4 linked regions of the Saccharomyces cerevisiae S288C genome follow. Changing the gene in region 1 together with any one later gene gives a genetic interaction. Each region holds a gene or a part of one and is shown in the gene's direction. Other genes may lie near its edges.

Region 1 (6,174 bases):
TTTCTAATTTTCTGGGATTTCGATTTCACCAGCATTAATGCCTTCAATGATATCATGGGGATTCTTGAAGTCAACACGACAGCCGACAGATTGAGCAGTACCTAAGATTTCCTTAGTAACGGAAGCCAAAGTTCTACCGAAGGATTTGTCTCTCATTTGTCTGGCAATTTCAATAATTTCATCCAATTGAATGTTACCACTGTGCTTGACGTTTTTGTCCTTCTTTCTGTCTCTTGGTGGTTCCTTCAAAGCAGTAATGACCAAAGAGGAAGCAGATGGGACAACAGAGGCAGCAGCTTGTCTGTTTTGGATCTTTAATTGGACGGTAACCTTGATACCCTTGAATTCTTTGGTGGCCTTAGCAATATCTTCACCAACCTTCTTTGGCGATAGACCTAAAGGACCAATCTTTGGAGCCAAAGCAGCGGAGGCACCGACTTCACCACCAACGGCTCTTAGGTACAAGTATTTAACTTCATTAGGATCAAACTTTGGAGGCATTTTTGTATATCCTTTGTTCTTGTTGTCGACTTTCTAGACCCCAAAAGAAAGTTCCTTTAAGGTGTAATAGTAACGAACTGTAACTCAAAGAAGCCTTGAAATTTACCAAAATTCTAGACTTTGAATAATTTTTTCAGTATTAGGAGATGTCCATTTCCAGCAGTGTTAACGGATTCCAAATTTTCTTCCGGGATTTTCCCTTCGGTTACCAAGAGTGTCTCTCCAGCTCTAGGGAGAGCCCAGGAGTAATTGCCGCCGCGTCCGCCTAAGTCTAGGCAGCAAGCCACAACTGTACGGACGGAACTCCCAGCCAAGTAAGTTTGGCCCGAACTCACAACGGGGGAACGCACTGCATTTTACCAGCTTACAACAATAACGCCGTTGTAGGCGGCTTGTAGGTACAATCGCAACGATATCTGGAGTAGATGGCATTGAAATTGAGCTGATACTGTTATAGTTTACAAGCAGTACATTGTCTCATTACATTGTCTCTTTGTTTGACACCCACACATATTTGGTGTTCGGATGTTAAACAGGGTATTTATCTTGTTTTAGACTGGTACGAATGGGATAATGGCATAAGGTGGCTTCATTTGTTTGAGTATAAAGGTCTCCTTTATAATAATTAAATAGCGGGTATATAATGCTAAATATATTTTGTACAGTTAGGGTAAATTCCAGATTATTTATAGCGGTCTTGCTTTATTCTCAATGTTTGTATGGGGAAATAGTTCCATCCTTCTGTTGTATGAACTAATTCAACCTTGTATTCGTGGGAGTCCTTGTTTTTAATGTTCTTTTTCAAAGTGTTGACGATAACTTTTGAGTTGACTGATAATGCTTTAGAAGTATGTTTTAGTTTACAATAGTACTCCAGAGAGAGCTCTTGAACCAGTCTTGTTCCTGTTACTAGAACGCCGTTATTATCGCCTCCCTTGATTCCTTGCATTATCTCATCAATAGAACTAACGACATTGCGCACTTCAGTTTCGATAAAGTTAGTGGCCCTTTCTAACTTTATATCAAATGCAGCTCCTTTTTCTTCAATGACAAAATCTTTTAAAGTTTGTTGAAATACTTCATATTCTGGTAACTCAGGAACACCAATTGAATTAAATGGCTTGAATCTCAAATTATGGATTAACCGTTCATTAGAGAATTTTGACGGAGTACTATTCTTGTTGTCAATTAAACCAAATGACTTTAAAATTGCAAATTGGAAAACCTCTATTAGACATAAAGATTTGGTAATGTTAATTTCCTTCAAAAGATAGTTTAAAAATTGTTTGGTAGCTTGTAATTGTTCCATTTCATTATCCATAGCAAACCTGTACTTTAGCCTCAATTGGTCCTTCTTTTCACCAGCTTTCAATTTTTTAAGTTTTTTGTTCATGGAATGAATGGCATTAATATTTGATTCAATATCATTTTGACTATCTTTCAAAAAGGTTTCTAAGTGGTGACTTAAATAATAAACATACCAAAACATAGAGTATGCTTCAAAGGGTTTGTAAATATCCAAATCAAACCCCTTTAAAGAGAATTCGATCATACTTGATAGTTTCATAAAATATGTCCACGAACAGTAAACTTGTGAATTGACACTTTCAAACTGGGCTTGAAGAGAATCCCATAGAATAAGTTGCCTGTTAAAACCTTGTCTATATCTACATGTGTTTTGGGAGCAGTTTTGGTACCATTCTAAAAGCATATTAGAGCTTTCTTGGATAAGTTCATTACCAATAGAGGATTCAAATTCAGATGGAGTTTGTGCTGAAAACTCCTTGACATGTAGCAAATAAAATTGGGTATATGAAAATTTACCCAAAACTGTTCTGTCGTCTCTAATGAAAAATAAGGGGAATAAGATCCTTGCAATGACATGCCTTTGTTCCAACTTGTTGAAGAATTTGGCAAACTGGTAGGTCTCCAACGCAGACTCGGCTTTATCTACAAGGAGTATTGTTTTAACATCATTTGCCAGTGTAATAAAGCCGCTGTAATCCGTCGGTAACTTCGTAATCTTCCTGGGAGGGAATTGATTAGACCTGTGCTTTTGTATATATGTTGAGAACGCACCCTTTGGTGGAGACAGCTGTAATTGTGGAAATATGCCATTAACCGAGTTAGCGTTTTCAATTAGCTCATCCAGGTGGCTTGTCTTTGTGGAATAGTCTGTCAGATGGTCTTCTAAGTGGACTAAGCAAATGATAATTTTTAGTATATGCTTCAGCATAGTTAAATGTAAGCTATCATCAGAATATGCCTCTAATATCTGAAGGCTCTCGGTGAGAGAATTGATAACAACATCTTGCCCCGGCAAATTATCGAATGTATTAAACCCCATGTTATTAAAATTTAAATCCTCCTCTTCAAAAACAATACCAGCACTCAAGAGTTTCTGCACAAATTTTGTTAAATAACAAACGCCAAGTATGCAACTTCCTAGTACTTTATCATACAAAATATTCCCTGTACACCAGGACGAACCGGCAGTTGTTCCCTTAACTAATGACGATAATAAGCTTTCTGTATACCTGCAGCTTAATACAGTAGTGGGTAAAGTCTGGTAGTCATTCAGCCAGGAGATAACACATCTAAGTAATCTATCCGCTATGGCTGCTACACTTGCCAACGGTGGATCGTAGGCCACGTTCACATCAAATTCTATTTCTTCTGCTGTCAATTCTATCAGACTGGAGTCTAATTTGGAGTTGTTGACCTCTAAAGAATGTGTACCCTCGAACAAATCAAACCTGGGATCTTTCACGATAGCCTCTGGTTTTAGTTTTGAACACAATTCATCAAACAGACTTGTGACGTCAACCAATTGGTCAAAATCATCAGTTATGCTCAAGGAACCTAATATACTGTCTACTTCCATTCTCGGAAACGTACCAGCTATTATCAAAGTTGCTCTACACTAGCACAGTTGTTTTCAATCTCAGCGCCACTCTTCTTGCTATTGAAGAGCTGCTATTTTACTTGTATCTCTTCGTGAAATTTCACTCCATCTCATAATTATTACCCGAAAACATAACAATGTGAAATAATCGTATTATGTAAAGGTTAGATAATATAACAACTACTAGATAATACAGTACTCTTATTCATTTATTTAGGCACCTGATTCCACTATTACCTATTCAATAGGTGTGCCGAGTTCCTTTGTCTTACGTAATTTTACACATCTTTTATGGGTCATATTTCGATATGTAAGGTAATAACGGGAATCTCCGGATTTACTTTAAAGTGGGAGGGAGAAGTTCCTTTCTTCTGATTTGCGGGTGCTCCGAAAGAACAAAGAATAAATAGGTAAAGCAGTGAAACATAGTATTTGCTGGTTAAAATCATGATCGCTTTGAAGCCCAATGCTGTTCGAACCTTCCGACAAGTGCAGCATTGCAGCTTTCGCATTTGTCGGTATCAATCTACGAAGTCAAATAAGTGTCTGACGCCCTTGCAAGAGTACGACAGACTGGTGAAGTTGGGGAAGCTACGGGATGATACATATCAGCGTGGTATCATCTCTTCCTTAGGGGATTTGTATGATTCACTGGTTAAATATGTACCTCCGGTTGTCAAGACACCCAATGCTGTCGACCAAGTTGGCGGTTGGTTGAATGGTCTTAAATCCGTATTTAGCCGTGGCAAACCTAAGAACATTGGGGCGTATGTGGATGTATCCAAAATTGGTAACTCGATACCTCGAGGAGTTTACCTATATGGAGATGTTGGCTGCGGAAAGACAATGTTGATGGACCTTTTTTATACTACAATTCCCAATCATTTAACAAAAAAGAGAATACATTTTCACCAGTTTATGCAATATGTTCACAAAAGGTCGCATGAAATTGTTAGAGAGCAAAATTTGAAAGAACTAGGTGATGCAAAAGGAAAAGAGATCGATACGGTTCCATTTTTGGCCGCAGAGATTGCAAATAATTCGCATGTTCTTTGTTTTGACGAGTTTCAAGTCACTGACGTGGCAGATGCAATGATATTGAGAAGGCTGATGACTGCCTTACTATCCGATGATTATGGTGTCGTACTTTTCGCAACCTCGAATAGACATCCAGATGAGTTGTATATCAACGGTGTTCAAAGACAATCATTTATTCCTTGTATTGAACTGATAAAGCATAGAACTAAGGTTATCTTCTTGAATTCGCCAACAGATTACCGTAAGATTCCAAGACCTGTGTCCTCAGTTTACTATTTCCCATCCGATACGAGCATAAAATACGCATCAAAGGAATGTAAAACCCGTCGAGAAACTCATATTAAGGAATGGTATAACTATTTCGCACAGGCTTCCCACACCGATGATTCCACTGATTCACACACGGTGCATAAGACATTTTATGATTATCCATTAACTATTTGGGGGAGAGAGTTCAAAGTCCCTAAGTGTACCCCACCTCGAGTCGCGCAGTTTACTTTCAAGCAGTTGTGTGGTGAGCCTTTGGCCGCAGGAGATTACTTGACGTTGGCAAAAAATTTTGAAGCCTTTATAGTGACCGATATTCCATATTTGTCCATTTACGTTCGTGATGAAGTGAGAAGATTTATTACATTTTTAGATGCTGTATATGACAGTGGCGGGAAACTGGCCACTACGGGTGCAGCGGATTTTTCTTCCTTGTTTGTGGAACCTGAACAGATACTTAATGATTTTGAGTTACGCCCAACAACCAAAGAACCTGATAGCGTCGATACTGGTATGGTAGATGAGATGGTTGAGAAACACGGTTTTTCGAAAGAGATTGCCAAGAAATCGCAGATGTTTGCTCTTGATGAAGAAAGATTTGCCTTTGCCCGTGCCTTAAGCAGGCTGTCACAGATGAGCTCCACCGATTGGGTTACTAAGCCTACATACTAAACCCTATGTAACAAAAGTGTTTATTTATATTCTTGTATTTATTCTAAACACGAACTTTGATCGTCTAACAATTGCCGCAGTTACACCTTTAACAATAGTGCTTTTTATTACTGATATTACTCACCTGATTTTTTGTTACCCGAATGCAAATTTGATTAGGAACGGGGATTGTTAAAAGACAATGGCAGTACAGATAAAGGTTAGATGAAGCAGCAGTAGAATAAATCAGCATCTGTAGTACATAGGTTCCTAACAGCATTGTGAAAAAGGTTCAAAAATGTCTGGTAATAGAGAGCAAGTCTTTCCTACGCGTATGACGCTGGGTTTGATGAAGACCAAGTTAAAAGGTGCCAACCAAGGTTATTCTTTACTAAAGCGTAAGTCTGAAGCCCTAACAAAGAGATTCAGAGATATTACCAAAAGAATTGATGATGCTAAGCAAAAGATGGGGAGAGTTATGCAAACTGCTGCCTTTTCCTTGGCCGAAGTTTCCTATGCAACAGGTGAAAACATTGGCTATCAAGTGCAAGAAAGTGTCTCTACTGCAAGATTCAAAGTGAGAGCACGTCAAGAAAACGTTAGTGGTGTGTATTTGTCTCAATTTGAGTCCTACATCGACCCTGAAATTAATGATTTCAGATTAACTGGTTTAGGTAGAGGTGGTCAACAGGTTCAACGAGCCAAGGAAATCTATTCAAGAGCCGTTGAAACTTTAGTTGAATTAGCCTCTTTACAGACTGCATTTATTATTTTGGATGAAGTGATTAAAGTGACGAACAGAAGGGTTAATG
Region 2 (5,277 bases), on another chromosome or scaffold:
TTTACTGTGCTGTTTCCATGAGTTATATATTCCCTATTTTGTTGTCCATTAACGCCAGTAACGGTAACCATGAAAGCGGATTGAATCAATTGGCCTATCAGAACGTCAAGCACCGTGGTAGATATTTTGCACATGTTTTCTGTGGATGGATTTTCTTTTGGGGGTTCCTTTACATTATTTACAGAGAATTGTATTTTTACACCTCTATGAAGCAAGCTGTACTAGCGTCCCCTCGTTATGCTAAAAAACTATCCTCGAGAACCGTGTTATTCCAGACTGTCCCTAAGCAATACTTAAGTGAAGAAGAGTTTTCTAAGTTGTTTGATGGTGTGAAAAGAGTCTGGATCGCAAGAGGTTCCGGTTCAATTGAAGCAATGGTCAAAGCAAGGGACAATATGGCCATACAATTGGAAGGTGCTGAAACAAAATACCTGAAAGCAGCATTGAAAAAAATTAAGAAGTTAAACAAAAAAAGTCCGCAATTATCTGTCTCTGATAATATTGCTGAATATGTCCCTGACAAGAAAAGACCACATCATAAAATTAACAAGGTTGCTAAATTCTTTTTTGGTAAAAAAGTTGACACCATATCCTACATTAAGGAGGAGTTGCCCAAGTTAAACCAAAAGGTGAAGGCATTACAAGAAGATCATGAAAATTCATCCCCTTTCAACTCCGTTTTTGTGGAGTTTGAATCCCAATATCAGGCCCAAGTTGCCGCTCAGATCACCACATACCATGCTCCTCTTTTCATGACGCCTGTGTATATTGGTATTGAGCCATCCGATGTCGTTTGGTTTAATTTGAGGATGTTCTGGTGGGAAAGATTAGGTAGGGAAGTCAGTGCGGTTTCAGCAATTGTCGCGCTAGTAATATTATGGGCTTTCCCAGTGGCTTTTGTTGGTATGATCTCTAATATTACTTCCTTGACTAATGAAGTTAAATGGTTAAAGTTCATCTATAAATTACCAAAACAACTATTAGGTTTACTGACATCTCTGGCCCCAACTGTGGCATTGGCCGTTTTAATGAGTTTCTTGCCGAAATTTATTAGGGGTATGGCTATCACTCAAGGTGCTCCATCTAAGCAAAATGTGGAATATTTCACTCAACAAGCTTATTTCGCCTTTCAAGTTATCCAAGTCTTTTTAGTTACCACTCTATCCTCCGCCGCCACTTCCACAGTAACGGAAATTGTTAAAGAGCCCACGAAGGCTATGGATCTACTGGCTTCTAATCTGCCAAAAGCTTCTAATTTTTTCATGTCATACGTTATTCTACAAGGTCTGTCCATTTCATCAGGTGCTCTTTTGCAAATTGTTCCACTAATACTCTTTTATGTTTTAGGTGCCTTTTTAGATGGTACCGTTAGGAAGAAATGGAATCGTTTTTGTGGGCTATCCAGTATGCAGTGGGGGACAGCTTTTCCAGTTTATACAAACTTGGCAGTTATTACTTTCTCCTACTCCATCATTTCTCCGTTGATTTTATTATTTGCTGCCGTCGCGTTTTTCCTATTGTATATTGCATATTTATACAATTTGACTTATGTCTATCAGGAATCACCCGACGCAAGGGGTATTTATTATCCAAGAGCTCTTTTCCAAACTATAGTTGGTATCTACATCGGTCAGATATGTCTATTAGGTCTTTTTGCCGTTGGTAAAGGTTGGGGCCCAATCGTTTTACAGGTAATTGGAATTTGTGTTACCGTCCTTATTCATTTACATTTGAGCGCTGCATTTGATCATTTATCAAAGGTTATACCCGTTGATACCATGAAACCGTTAGATGGTGTATCAGATACACCTTCTTTCAAAAATATTTATAAAGGCATAGAAAGTACAAAGGTGAAGAAAAATACTTTTGGTGCAAATATTGACATGGACGGAATCAAAGAATTACCTGAATTTCCAATAAAGAAATATCACAAGAGGAGTGAATCAGTCACTGAGCAACAAGTTGAAAATAGCATATTTAGTGAAAATACATTCGAATATCAATTCAACCCAGCAAATGAAGCCAATGCAGATGGGCACGCTATAAATGCAGAAAATTTAATTGAGGACGTGCCATTATTAGCAGATGGTGATACAATGAAAATTCCTCCGGCTCCATGGTGGAAGAGATTCTTAAAACCTCACATTTACTACTCCTATAAGGCTGTAAAGAGCAGACTGCCAGAAATATATGGTTTGGTTGATCCTGATGAAAGAGTCAATGATTTCGATATCTCTCATGCTTACGATTATCCAGCTGTTAGTGCACAATGCCCCGAATTGTGGATTCCTCGCGATCCTTTTGGATTTTCCAAATTGTTGATTTCAGACGTTTCTGGCGTTGTTGAAATGAACGATGAAAATGCTACCATCGATGAGAATTTGAAATTTACTCTGCGTGACGTACCACCACCATATAATGATGTTAAAGACGAAGCAAATGGTGAAGCAAATGGCGAATTTGACACAGCTAGTAAGGAAAATAATCCATTTGCGGACCCAAAGTATAAGGAAGAAGAGAGTCGTTCGGCAGTCTAAAGGTTAAACATTATCAGAAATTATCTATTCCTATTTGTTTAGCTGTTATCCTCTGATGGTTGAATTGTAATTTTACTAAGAAAAGGAGAGGAAAAGGACGTGCATATATTCTTTTAATACATTTAAAATATGATTCTAATCATTTCTTATATAATAGTGTATAGTCTAATCATTCATCGTGTATAGTAACCCTTTTTGTTTTTTTTTATGCAAAGTTTTTTTGTTTTTGGCAATCTATGAGGTTTGAATATTGGATAAAAGGAACTCCGCACAGTAATACGGAGCAGTCAGCTAATTTAACCAGCACTAATAGGGAGTACATTCAATTGGAAACTTTGATTCGCTTGTATGCGTGAAAAGCAAATTCCCTTCTAGAGAAGTTACTGAAAAACATGAATTTATTACGAATGAATGCTTTAACAAGCAAGGCTAGGTCAATAGAACGGTTAAAACAAACATTGAATATTTTATCCATTCGTAATCATAGACAATTCAGCACCATTCAACAAGGCAGCAAATATACCCTCGGGTTTAAGAAATACTTGACATTATTAAATGGAGAGGTTGGTTCTTTTTTCCATGATGTCCCTTTAGATTTGAATGAACATGAAAAGACCGTAAATATGATTGTTGAAGTACCAAGATGGACAACTGGAAAATTTGAAATATCCAAAGAACTTAGGTTCAATCCGATCGTTCAAGATACGAAGAATGGCAAGCTTAGGTTCGTGAACAATATCTTTCCCTATCACGGCTATATACACAACTATGGTGCTATTCCCCAAACATGGGAAGATCCCACAATTGAACATAAACTGGGGAAGTGTGACGTGGCTTTGAAAGGTGACAATGATCCTCTTGATTGTTGCGAAATCGGTTCGGATGTTTTGGAAATGGGTTCCATTAAAAAGGTCAAGGTATTAGGATCACTCGCTTTAATTGATGATGGAGAATTGGATTGGAAGGTCATAGTGATCGACGTAAATGATCCTTTATCCTCTAAAATAGATGACTTGGAAAAAATTGAGGAGTACTTTCCTGGGATTCTAGATACGACTAGGGAGTGGTTTAGAAAGTATAAAGTTCCAGCAGGGAAGCCATTAAATAGTTTCGCCTTTCATGAACAGTATCAAAATTCCAATAAAACCATCCAAACTATAAAGAAATGTCACAATTCGTGGAAAAACCTCATTTCAGGATCACTCCAGGAGAAGTATGACAACCTGCCTAATACAGAAAGGGCTGGTAATGGTGTCACACTTGAAGATAGTGTTAAACCCCCTTCTCAAATACCGCCTGAGGTGCAAAAATGGTATTACGTTTAATATGAAAATAATACCTTCGAAGAAAATGTTTAGATAAAGGTTCCTTGTATATAATTACGTAATCTCTGCTCTCTCGAATGTTGGCTGCTTGATGTATGTGAACGTTTGGAAAGAAACTTGGGTTTATATTCACTGCTAAAATGACATCCTATTAGAAGTTCGTCTTTCTCCGGTTCGGTTAGTCTACTCACCTAGAAACATCTTGCGAAAATCGTCGTTGGACATCTGCTCTTGTTTGTCAGGAATTTTTTTCTTTACTTGAAGATTTGGTCCTTTTTCCATCATGTTTATACAACTAGGTTTGACGTGTTTCATGCTGTGATTCTGTTGATTGTTATAATATCTTTTCATGTCATTAATAGTACCTGAACGTATCACCTTTCCCTGAAATTGAGATCCATTTAGTATCATTAGCATTTTTGCTGCAAACTTACTATCTCTAAATATAATAATGGCGCCATTGAAGTCGCTAACGAGAAGTATTTTCCTAATATCTTTTTCATTGATGTGTATTTCTTCCTGAAGAAATTGGCAGATTAAGCTTGGTGACACCTTATCTGAAAGTGGAAATAAGCATATTAGTGTTTCTAGTTCTTTGCTGTTACGCGATGCGAGAAGTCTTTTGACTTCGTTTCTTTCTAAGAATGGTTTTTTATCAGCCAAGGAAACGGAAATTTCCCTATTACCTAACAAACTTCTATTCATTTGAAGTGCCCTTTCAGCAGAATCTTTATTTTCAAAAACCATAAATGCACAACAGTTATTGAAACTGTGCTCTTTCTGTCCAGCAGGTATGTTGATTTTTTCAATGGAACCAAATCCCTCAAAAGATTCCCTCAGAAGGTTTTCGTCGAGCAATTCTGTACTTAGGTTTCGTATCATAATCTCTCGCCCCTCTAGTGTGGCAGAATCGGTCCGTTTCGACTTTTCCAGCGGATTGGAAACTTTAGTAACTAAAGTATAACCTTCTATTTTGAGTCCATTCAATTTTTCTACACAATATCTTGCATCCTCTTTAGAAGTAACATCGATGTAAGCGAACCTTCTGCTTGTATTGAATCGTAAACTGGGAAGCCGTATACTGAGTGCAACAACGTTAATATCTTGCAATAGATCTCTAATATTTCTTTGAGTATAACTTGGGGGGAAATTCGTCATCCATAATGTGCATTCTGTTAAATGAGATACTATAATTTCATTCTGACCTACAACTTTGTGTGTTTTGGTTATTGCAGCGAGGGCTCCATCATACCTGGCAAATTCAATACGTGCAAAACGAAAGTTCTTCTTCAGCGAATCCGCAACATCAACGTGTATAATGGGCCCACAATGTTTGAAGTACTTATAGACTTTGTTTTGATTATAGCTCTTAGGCAAATTTTTGACTAATACAGTTGTTAATTCTCTATTTCTTG
Region 3 (5,071 bases), on another chromosome or scaffold:
GGCCAGACCGGCTGCATTGGGTGCGACGGTAAATTCTCTATAGGCATCACCATTGAAAAGTATGTCCTTAATTTAGTCGTGAGAATCATCATTGTGTTCGCCCTTTGTCGTATAACCGAATTGAGTGTCTTTGATTCATCTCTAAGGTGTAAAAGCAGAAAAACCAGATTATCTAAAGCTGCAAGAAAGAAAGAAACTGATCATTTTCATGAACAGTGCAGATATGTGGAAGTGAAATTTGGCCTGCAGATGGCATATCTGCAATCCTAGCTTTTTCCTTCTGCACTTTAAACCTATCTATATATCTTCGATGAAAGTACTGCATGAACATATCTGTATAGATAGATATATGTAGGGAAGACACCCGGTATGTAAATGTTAATGCTCGTAAGATTTCGAGTTTGTAAAAATAAGATGCGGTATGCACTTGAGATCTCGTAAACTATTTGTATGTTGATATTTTTGCGCTTTTCTCACTCTCGTATTCTTTTAGAAAAGAAATAGAAACGAAGAAAGAGCCTAAATTAGACCGAAGACGGCACTAATGACACTTAAGACACCAATAAAAGTGTTAGTGTTTAAGTTAGAATAATTCACCAAAGCATTGCCCGCATTTTTCTTATGAGTGGAAGACCCAGAAGCAGAGGCAGAGGCGGAAGCAGAGGCAGAGGCAGAGGCAGAGGCAGCAGCGGCGGAGGCAGACAAGGAAGCAGAAGAAGAATAATCATCATTTCCTACACCTGAGACTGACCTGCTGTCAATAGTACCGTTCCAGCAGTAGTTGGTAAAACACTGGCTGCATTCAGAGGGCAATGTAGCATTCAAGTTTTGTTGCTTACGTCTGATAATGGCGCAACCAACACAGCCCAAGAAATCAGAATCATCAGTAAAATTACCCATTGTGGCAGCTTCAAACCCATTCTTAATCATACCAAGACGTTCTGAATCGGAGTATGACATCTTAAAAGTACTTTGGTTACCATTAAATGAATGTCTTGAATTTGGAATGTAAACAATTAATGGTGGAATGTACTCCAAGTCTGTCAAATTTCTTGCATCACAACCAAAAAAGGTTGGCTTTTTGTTCAACCCCAAGTTGACAAATGTGTTCACATCTGGAACATATGGGAAAGACAAATTGAGACCTTGGCTGCCAAATTGACGCTGATAAGTGTTAACTAATGAAGCACCATCTGGCCAATAGTCGTCAGTATCAGCAGAATTGTCTAATGCAAAAATAACATCTAGTTCACGTTCCTTTTGCAACAATGGAACTAAAGGAATATTTTGGTTATCTTCACCACCATCAACCAAAAATAGATATTCTGATTCGATAATACTGGAGGTTGCGTTCTTTTGAAGAAAATTAGCTTCCTTGAATGGATTTGGGGCGTAAATTGCAATATCGTCACTATTGTCGGATAAATCTTCCAGGAAATCGGTGGCTAAGTTAGCAATAAATGAAGGTAAATCGGTAGAATTCAATCTTAGTAAAAATTGGTTAAACAACGTAGATGAAGTGGCTGTTATGAAACCAGTGTTATCAAACCCGGCAATGCATTGGCCTTTATTAACTGGTTTACCGTTTGTAACGTTGGTACCTAAATACTTCACATCCGTAAATGCGTTCAAAGTGGGGTCCCATGAACCCATTTCAAAGGGATTAAATTCGAAAAGAGTGGCATTCAAGTTTATCACGGTGGTACCTGGGTATCTACCGTCTGCAACAGTGATAGGGAAGGGCATTTCTCCATTCTTGAAGACATCAGCTTCCCTTAAAGTTGACCATGTGTACCCTACACCACCACGGTGTAAGCTTGGCCAAAAATTGTACGCAAGAGCACGGCCCCAAACATCCGCCAAAGAGATGTTGAAACCGGCGTCTTTTTTATCCTGAACGTCATCTGATATGTCGTCCCATCTACTCCCAGTCTTAAAGATGTTAATGCCGTCTGGGGTAAGAATTGAATGAGAGATGTCCCAAATTGAGTTAGATTCTGTTGTATTATCCACGATAGCTTGCACAGACGTCCAGTTGTTCCAAGCCAAAGTACTTGTTAACCAGTTACCACCCGACAGACCTGCCAAGTAAGTTGCACCTTGCAGCAGCCCACCAAGACCATGCTCATTTGCGCCATCAGTACGATTGTCCATAGCAGCAAGCATACCAGCACCAGACAACATGGCACGGTAACCACCACCAGAACAGGCGACGGCAATCTTAGGCATATTGGAAGAGTTGCTACCAAAAAGAGTGGATAGCAAGGAAGTGTCACTGAAATTCGAAGTGGCCCTATTCAAAAAAGAATGCAAAGCCTCCTTGGTGTATGCATCTCTTTTTTTCAGCCATTCTGTTTCGTTATCTGACAAACCAGATGCTTCTCTGACTAAGTTAATATCATCATCACAGGTTACGTTCGCAGGGACGTAACTGTTATTTGGTGACCAAGCGTTAACGTTCTCTGTTAGAGAAGTCAAAACTGCAGCAGAAACCAACAAACTCTGCAACTTCATGGTTTTGTTTTATTTTCTTTCCCGTTTGCCCTTAGGATGGATAGCTTCGTGTAATTTACGTTATATGAACGAAAAAAGAGAGAAATGTTAAGAAAAGAACGAAGAATTGATTAGTTAGTATAACCTAATAAATGTAGAACCTTACAGCGAAGAGACGTTTCCGTTGGTTAAATGTGGTGGAAGCGTCTTTATATATTAGATGATGTAGTTTACCTAAGCAGTTAGAAGAAAATAAAGTAACCAAGTCATCTTCTAAGCAAAAATAGGAGACGTAAATGAATGTTGCTTAACTGAGAAAAATATGCGGGAATAAGCGGACATGTTACTGTATGAGGTTATTTCCCTTTATAGATAAGGGCGTAAACCGCATATAATGAGGAAAGGCGAAGTTAGAAACGGACTTTTTAGGTCGCTTTGAAGAAGTCCGTGCAGGAAACCCATGCGTCCACTTATTTTAGCACTATGTGGCATGAGAAAGCTTTGGAAGGAATAAACGTTAGGACCCCACTGCGCCGCTTTTACGCAGGGCAATTTCGGGGACAAAGGGGGCTGAAGGAATACAATTCCGATCCAAGGCAACAAGTAGGTCAGAACCCTTTATTAACCTGCGCTTGTTAGTGGCTTCCTTTGTACTCTGTCCGTAATCCAGCATAGCGCTGAATTGCTGAAAGATATGGGTAGCGGTCAGATGAGAAGGGCAATCGTCAGGACTTCTGTTGAAAAGCGGACTAAACATAGGCATTATCATTCTTAGAGTTTTACGAGCAAATAGAATCGAGTGACTTCCGTCGTTGCTAACAGGCGCAGTAATAATAACCGCGGACGAAAGCCACGCAGGCAAAGAATGCTTTCGCTGAAATATCGGAGTCTTGCTATTGTTCAGGGCTTTGCCGGTGCGTAAATAATAGGCTGAAGCGAATTTGATTTCCCGCACAAAAAATTTTTGCTCGAGTAAGTCATACATATATCTTGCATGCGTAAAAAAAATTGCAATTGCTGAAGATTGAACGACCGCCCACCGGTATTTTCATCTCTTCTAGATCAAGACTAACTGCTCGTTCAGTACAAGTATTTTACGATAGTCCATATTACTCTTCAATTAATATTTTTTTTTTATATTCTGGCCCGTTTTTGACACAATTTTTTCCTTCTCTTTTTCTCCCTATAAACTATGCAGAAGTAGCGATAATCACGATCTTGTTAATGATTCACATGTGCGCAAGTCGTATTGTCTGTCTAGATAGTGAGATGCCTTCTAAATAACAGGAGAGAGGCAAGATAGCATAACGGCGCAATGAAGGTAATTTCTGCCAGTTTTCTTTGCATTGACGACTGAAAGGGCCCTTGTAAGAGCCGCTCGACAGGGCGACGCCACAGTAGAGTCGCTAACACCGAAATATGCATATTGAAAAACATCAAAGTATAAAAGAACAAAGAGGGTGGCATCTGCAGATCAAAAAAAACAATAACCACCAAACAAGACACTAAAAAAGGTCGTAAAAAGGTCAAAAGTTAGAATGGTTAAGGTATATATTCATGACAACAAGGTTGACTCCGATTATCGCGCACCCCACAATTCTGGAACAGAACTTTCCCTGGATGAATTAGCCAAGTTAGGAGTGATTTATAAATACTGTGCAAATGAGGAAGAAGTGAATGAAATTGCTAGGCAAAGAGAATATAAAAATAGAGATGTGGTCAACATCTGCGAAGGTTCCTTCAAAAGTGAAGCAGAGTTTAATGAAAAACTAGCAACATTCTACCAAGAGCATTTACATGAAGACGAAGAAATAAGATACTGTCTCGAGGGTGCTGGATACTTTGACGTCAGGGATGCTTCCACACCAGAGAACTGGATTAGGTGTTTGGTAGAGTCAGGTGATTTACTGATTCTTCCACCAGGCATCTATCATCGTTTCACCTTGACAACTAGCAACCACATCAAGGCCTTGAGACTGTTTAAGGACGAGCCCAAATGGCAAGCTATCAACAGGTCAAATCAGGCTGATTCATTGCCTGTACGCAAGGACTACATTGCCCTGATCAATCAGTACTAAATACTGCATCATAATACATTATTCTTAATGTCTTACTTCTTTATATCTTTAAAGTAGCGTAGGGTGACTTCCCCGTCAAGAATGATTTTTAGTCTGTGAAATAGGAAAAGAAAAAAACACCAAAAGTGGAAAAAGAAACACCGGAAGTTTGAACGATTTTCGTATTATTTTTATATTTAGATGTTGGTCAAGTATTCATCTTTTCCTCCATTTATTTGCATACTTCTTCCATGGAGAATAGTGAAAAGTATAGGCCATAGTCGTAATATCAAAAAGCAAAGCCTTATCACTATTTATAAACATCAACAATCCTGAAAGCCAAAAACGATACGACATTTGATATTTTGATTTGGTTTCAGCGCCCTATTTTTTTTATAAAAACTATACGCATACTGTTGCATTCCTTTCTTTATAAAATTCAATAAAAAATTAATACTTTCCACAGATAAAGCTAGAGAATGTCAACAACAGGTCCGTTAGATGCTACTTTAATAAGGGAC
Region 4 (5,554 bases), on another chromosome or scaffold:
ATGGGCGGGCTACAACAAAATGAAATAAAAAGCGTCAGGATCATTGTTTTTTACCATACTTGACTTCTCTGAAAAAATCCATGACGTTCGTGAAAACTACCAACAATAACCCACCACCGGGGGCAAGTCTCATGACCTTTGGCGCAAATCCCTTATACAATGCTTTAAACCCTTCCTCACGGTAAACTAACAGCACTGAAGGCAGGGACCAGTTGTACTTCCTCAGCGGCCCGGAACTTCTTTGGATCCTAGATTTTACCACGTCAAATGGTGTATTCAACAAGCACCCGACAGTGCCACCAATAGCACCTGCGATCAAATCATTTCTGGTCTTTTCCGTGCTTGTTTTAGCCGCCGGCAAAAGCTTCCGAATTTGGAATATTATACCGAAATAACCGGCATTCCAAAGAACGTGTCTCCAGATAGTGGCTTCCAACCCATTGAAAAGTGACAAAACACCACCTTTCACAACACTATTCTTTACAACTTCAATGGGTGTCTTGAACTGTGAATTCACATCCTGTAATCTAATCTTCACTAGTTCAAAAGGCGCGACGACAAAGGCTTCCACGGCGCCAGCGGACGCACCACTGTATATGGCGATTTTTTGAGTCATCTCCCCATTGGGCGTGGGGAAAATCTTTTTATAAAACGTTTGGAATGTATCGTTTCCGGAGAACTTAATTGCTCTTTTCGGAGCCTCCATTAATATAGGCGATGTGATACCCTTGTAAAGATGCGAAAATCCTTCCTTCTTCACAATTTTTGTAAGACAATCCATCACGCCCGTGTAGTGATCTACTGCTGCTTTCGCTGCAACAACAGCGGGATGACCTTTGGTTGTCACTTGTAATTGCATTCTTGTCTTCACCACGTCCAATGGATACATCACCAATAGCTCCGAGACGCCGGCAATGGCACCGGCTGTGAACTGGTATATGAACGGCAAAGGTCTATTATCTATAGATGTCATCTTACAGTTCTTTTTCTTTCACCCTCGTTACAGTTCTATCTTGAGAATAAATGAGATAAAGGTTCCCAAAAGTCACTGATATATATCAACGGCGGTCACCCTCACAGAAATACCCGAGAATCTGCCCTTCGCCAAATCAGATTCAGCCAGTTCGCAGTTTTTTTCCCTATCTCTGGTCGCCGCATTATGAAAAGATCCTGGGGTAATAATGGGAATGATTTGAAAAAAAACAAATGCTGGTAGAAAAAGGTCTTCGTATTGCTCGTAGTAATACGGCTATTTCAAGTAACTGCTCGGGCCAGCGGCTTGAGGAAAAAGTAAACCCGTTACTTTGCTTTTTAATGACGCTGGAAATACCAATTACCTACTATGTATTACTTATGCTTATGACAAAGGGATGAAATTCCCGACGATGCAAATTGGGATGTTGTACCTATCCCTTCTGATAGTGAAACTAAAACAGCATGGCCGTTTGCGGATTCCATCTTTGGTTCGAAGACTACAACTTGTTAAAACAGCCTTCTGACCCTTATCAAACGCTATGGACCCGTATTTTTCCCAGAAATTCACAGCGCTTTCTTCTGTCATCAACTCGTAGATCGCAAGCTTTCCATCGCGTAAATCATCGACTGTGCAGTCAACCAGTGAAGCAAACTCTTTATTGGCTCTGTAAATCTCACCGGTACGCCTACACAAGCACGCTGGCATGCTCATAGAGGTGAAAACACGATCATAAGATAATAACATCCTCTCGAAGCTCTCCTCCACTAAAACTAAGTCAACATCCTTCAATGAACGCGCAATGGTTCTAAACGCCGGTCTAATGGTGGATAGTGGTTTCAGAATCCTTTGCTTGGAAGACTGATTCATATATTTGTCCATGTAGTCTTGTAGTCTTGCATACCCCTTGGCATAATTATACGGCTTCAATAATCCTGCTTCAAGCTTCGCATTTATGACCAACTTCAGCCGGTGTTCTGGTGTCATCTCTGTTGACGGATCCGCCGCTGTTAAAAAGAATTGTTCCTTCGGTGTCGGTGCACTGTTTTCGTTTGCATTCGCTAGAATTCGAGACTCTTCCTTTTCTTGATCTTGTTTATCCCCTTTCGAGATACTATTGGAAGAACCTGACATAATAGTAGGCGACCTATTTTCTTGTCTTGCCACTCCTATTTCATCCCTACGATTGTCGTTTTGGTACTCTAATGGCGATTGTGTGGTTTGTGAGCCATTTTCCAAATGAACATTGCTCGCACTGCTGGAACTTAGTGATGTTTGAGTCAATAGAGGATTTTCTAGCATAGAAAGAAATTCATTCAAAGAACTGAATTCCGAACCAACATTCTCGGACACAAATACAGGTTGTTGCGGAAGCAGCAAGCTGGTTGTATCATTTACAAGAGAGGAGTCTAGTTTCGGTGACAGTTCCTCTCCATATGTGGATCCACTTTTATTGACTGGTTCATTCTGATAGTCAGACGGAATTCCAGTGTGTGCTTTATTTGCATATTTGCCCTGTATATTATTATCATTCGGAGAACTTTCGTGCTGTGATGGCATCTCATTTGGAACCGCAATATCATCTTCCCTGCATAAATGGGCAATATCCCTCTTGACGCACCTAGAACATGGACGTTGCTTATCACATACAACATGTGACCGTTTACAAAATAAACATGTTTTAAAAGCCTTACTGGCTCGTTTTACACCACTGTTTGCTGACATTATTTCGTCAGTTTATATAAATATGTGTATTTTGTGTTGATTAAAATTAAAAAAAACTTTATCTCACTGGCAAAGAACTCCCGCAAATTTTCTCATAAGAATTACTTTCTTCTTCCATCCCAGAGACCTCATCCTTTTTTCTAATATTCAACTATTTTTCATTTTCCTTCGTACTCTTTGTTTTGCTTTTTCTTGTTTTCTGCCATTCCAAAACATTATTCTCCCCATCTAAGGAGCGGATCTGTAGGAAAAACAGCGTAACCATTGGAAAACCCTTTCCCTAACCAATGCCCTTTGACGGATGAAACATGATATATCTTTTAAGGACATAGATACTAACCAATACAAATCAAAGAACAGTGAAGAGTCTAAAGGGGCAGCGAACGCTTAAGTATCTTCTTTAAAGTAATAATATTCCTGTCGCAGGTGAAATAGCACTTCAGCGCACAAACAAATAATATTGCAGCCAAAATTCCCTAATATTGTCATGATAAGAATATGTCCCATTGTTAGATCTAAGGTTCCACTGTTAGGAACTTTTCTTAGATCCGACTCATGGTTGGCACCTCATGCGCTAGCTCTAAGGCGGGCCATATGCAAAAACGTTGCATTGAGAAGTTATTCAGTGAACAGCGAACAACCAAAACATACATTTGATATTTCAAAACTTACTAGAAATGAAATCCAGCAATTGCGAGAGTTGAAAAGAGCAAGGGAGAGAAAATTTAAAGATCGTACGGTTGCATTTTATTTCAGCAGCGTCGCGGTACTTTTCTTGGGTTTGGCATATGCAGCGGTACCACTCTATAGAGCCATTTGTGCTCGTACTGGTTTTGGTGGGATTCCCATAACAGATAGAAGAAAATTTACCGACGATAAACTCATTCCTGTAGATACTGAGAAGAGAATTCGTATCTCATTCACCAGTGAAGTATCACAAATTTTACCGTGGAAATTCGTTCCTCAACAACGTGAGGTTTACGTTCTGCCTGGTGAAACAGCCCTCGCTTTTTATAAAGCCAAGAATTACAGCGATAAAGATATTATTGGTATGGCTACTTATAGCATAGCGCCTGGTGAAGCAGCTCAATACTTTAATAAAATCCAATGTTTTTGCTTTGAAGAACAAAAGCTAGCTGCCGGTGAAGAAATAGATATGCCTGTCTTCTTTTTTATCGATCCAGATTTTGCTAGCGATCCAGCGATGCGAAATATCGATGATATTATTTTACATTACACATTCTTCAGAGCTCATTATGGTGATGGTACAGCTGTAAGTGACTCTAAAAAGGAGCCTGAGATGAATGCAGATGAAAAAGCAGCGTCATTGGCTAATGCTGCTATTTTATCCCCAGAAGTTATAGACACAAGGAAAGACAACTCAAATTAATTGTAAATACAAAGTCATTCAATGTACATAAATACTGTTATGCTTTTGAATTAAGTAAAACACCATGACTTCATATTGAGATGTTTTAAGCATATAATCACGGCACCGAACTTCTTGTAATCATCAAATCTTTGTTTTCTAGCCGTCATAGAAATGAAGAAATGAAGATTCTTGTTCATGTGATACAGCTTTTCTAGACAGCTAACTTGTACATCCAGACATCCTAAAACACCCATAAAGCAAAAAAAATTATTGAAATATTCTCTTTTTTTTCTTTTTTTTTTTTCTGGTGGCTTTCAATGCGGAATCGCTCACATCCGAAAATTTCAGAGGCTTCACTTAGCGTCGCAGATCCCAGTAGTCGCCAGATGCTTTGAAAAAAAAAAAAATAAATAGAAAAGTTTGTAGACATATCCGATGTAGTATATTTCAGAGGCCAACCTTTACTTTTGTTTTCTCCTACACTTCAAAATAAAAGACACCGTCACAAATCTCAGCAACAATGGCTTTCCAAAAAGACGCTAAGTCCTCTGCTTACTCCTCTCGTTTCCAAACTCCTTTCAGAAGAAGAAGAGAAGGTAAGACTGATTACTACCAAAGAAAGAGATTGGTCACCCAACACAAGGCCAAGTACAACACTCCAAAGTACAGATTGGTTGTTAGATTCACTAACAAGGATATCATCTGTCAAATCATCTCTTCTACCATCACTGGTGATGTCGTCTTAGCTGCTGCCTACTCCCACGAATTGCCAAGATACGGTATTACCCACGGTTTGACCAACTGGGCTGCTGCTTACGCTACTGGTTTGTTGATCGCCAGAAGAACCTTGCAAAAGTTGGGTTTGGACGAAACTTACAAGGGTGTTGAAGAAGTTGAAGGTGAATACGAATTGACCGAAGCTGTTGAAGATGGTCCACGTCCATTCAAGGTCTTCTTGGATATTGGTTTGCAAAGAACCACCACTGGTGCCAGAGTTTTCGGTGCTCTAAAGGGTGCTTCTGACGGTGGTTTGTACGTTCCTCACTCCGAAAACAGATTCCCAGGTTGGGACTTCGAAACCGAAGAAATTGACCCAGAATTATTGAGATCTTACATCTTTGGTGGCCACGTTTCCCAATACATGGAAGAATTAGCTGACGATGATGAAGAAAGATTCTCTGAATTATTCAAGGGTTACCTAGCTGACGACATTGATGCTGACTCTTTGGAAGACATCTACACTTCTGCTCACGAAGCTATCAGAGCTGACCCAGCTTTCAAGCCAACTGAAAAGAAATTCACCAAGGAACAATACGCTGCTGAATCCAAGAAGTACAGACAAACCAAATTGTCCAAGGAAGAAAGAGCTGCTCGTGTTGCTGCCAAGATCGCTGCTTTGGCTGGTCAACAATAAATTATGGATATATAACGTCATTTTGAGATATTTTAAATAAAGCTATCTTCACATAACCTTTGTATTCATT

What was found.
Region 2: mutations in AFG1 (region 1) and PPA2 together harm fitness more than expected from each alone (negative genetic interaction), as found in Saccharomyces cerevisiae (one large-scale study listed by BioGRID).
Region 3: mutations in AFG1 (region 1) and ADI1 together harm fitness more than expected from each alone (negative genetic interaction), as found in Saccharomyces cerevisiae (one large-scale study listed by BioGRID).
Region 4: of AFG1 (region 1) and COX11, extra expression of one rescues a mutant of the other (dosage rescue), as found in Saccharomyces cerevisiae (one study listed by BioGRID).

What each region holds. Positions count from the first base shown.
Region 1 is NC_001137.3:52,718-58,891, forward strand, and holds AFG1 (Afg1p), read left to right. Parts: upstream 1-3,853; coding exon 3,854-5,383; downstream 5,384-6,174. Other genes in the region: 60S ribosomal protein uL11 RPL12A, read right to left, coding at 4-501; MAK10 (Mak10p), read right to left, coding at 1,184-3,385; VMA8 (H(+)-transporting V1 sector ATPase subunit D), read left to right, coding at 5,661-6,174.
Region 2 is NC_001145.3:798,843-804,119, forward strand, and holds PPA2 (inorganic diphosphatase PPA2), read left to right. Parts: upstream 1-2,929; coding exon 2,930-3,862; downstream 3,863-5,277. Other genes in the region: RSN1 (Rsn1p), read left to right, coding at 1-2,537; U6 snRNP complex subunit PRP24, read right to left, coding at 4,046-5,277. UniProt on the Saccharomyces cerevisiae protein: Involved in energy production. Its activity is stimulated by uncouplers of ATP synthesis.
Region 3 is NC_001145.3:280,071-285,141, forward strand, and holds ADI1 (acireductone dioxygenase (Ni2+-requiring)), read left to right. Parts: upstream 1-4,031; coding exon 4,032-4,571; downstream 4,572-5,071. Other genes in the region: YMR007W (uncharacterized protein), read left to right, coding at 1-270; PLB1 (lysophospholipase), read right to left, coding at 520-2,514; YMR008C-A (uncharacterized protein), read right to left, coding at 3,011-3,478; ANY1 (Any1p), read left to right, coding at 5,030-5,071. UniProt on the Saccharomyces cerevisiae protein: Catalyzes 2 different reactions between oxygen and the acireductone 1,2-dihydroxy-3-keto-5-methylthiopentene (DHK-MTPene) depending upon the metal bound in the active site.
Region 4 is NC_001148.4:298,531-304,084, forward strand, and holds COX11 (Cox11p), read left to right. Parts: upstream 1-3,185; coding exon 3,186-4,088; downstream 4,089-5,554. Other genes in the region: ODC1 (mitochondrial 2-oxodicarboxylate carrier), read right to left, coding at 41-973; gluconeogenesis transcription factor RDS2, read right to left, coding at 1,358-2,698; 60S ribosomal protein uL18 RPL5, read left to right, coding at 4,591-5,484. UniProt on the Saccharomyces cerevisiae protein: Exerts its effect at some terminal stage of cytochrome c oxidase synthesis, probably by being involved in the insertion of the copper B into subunit I.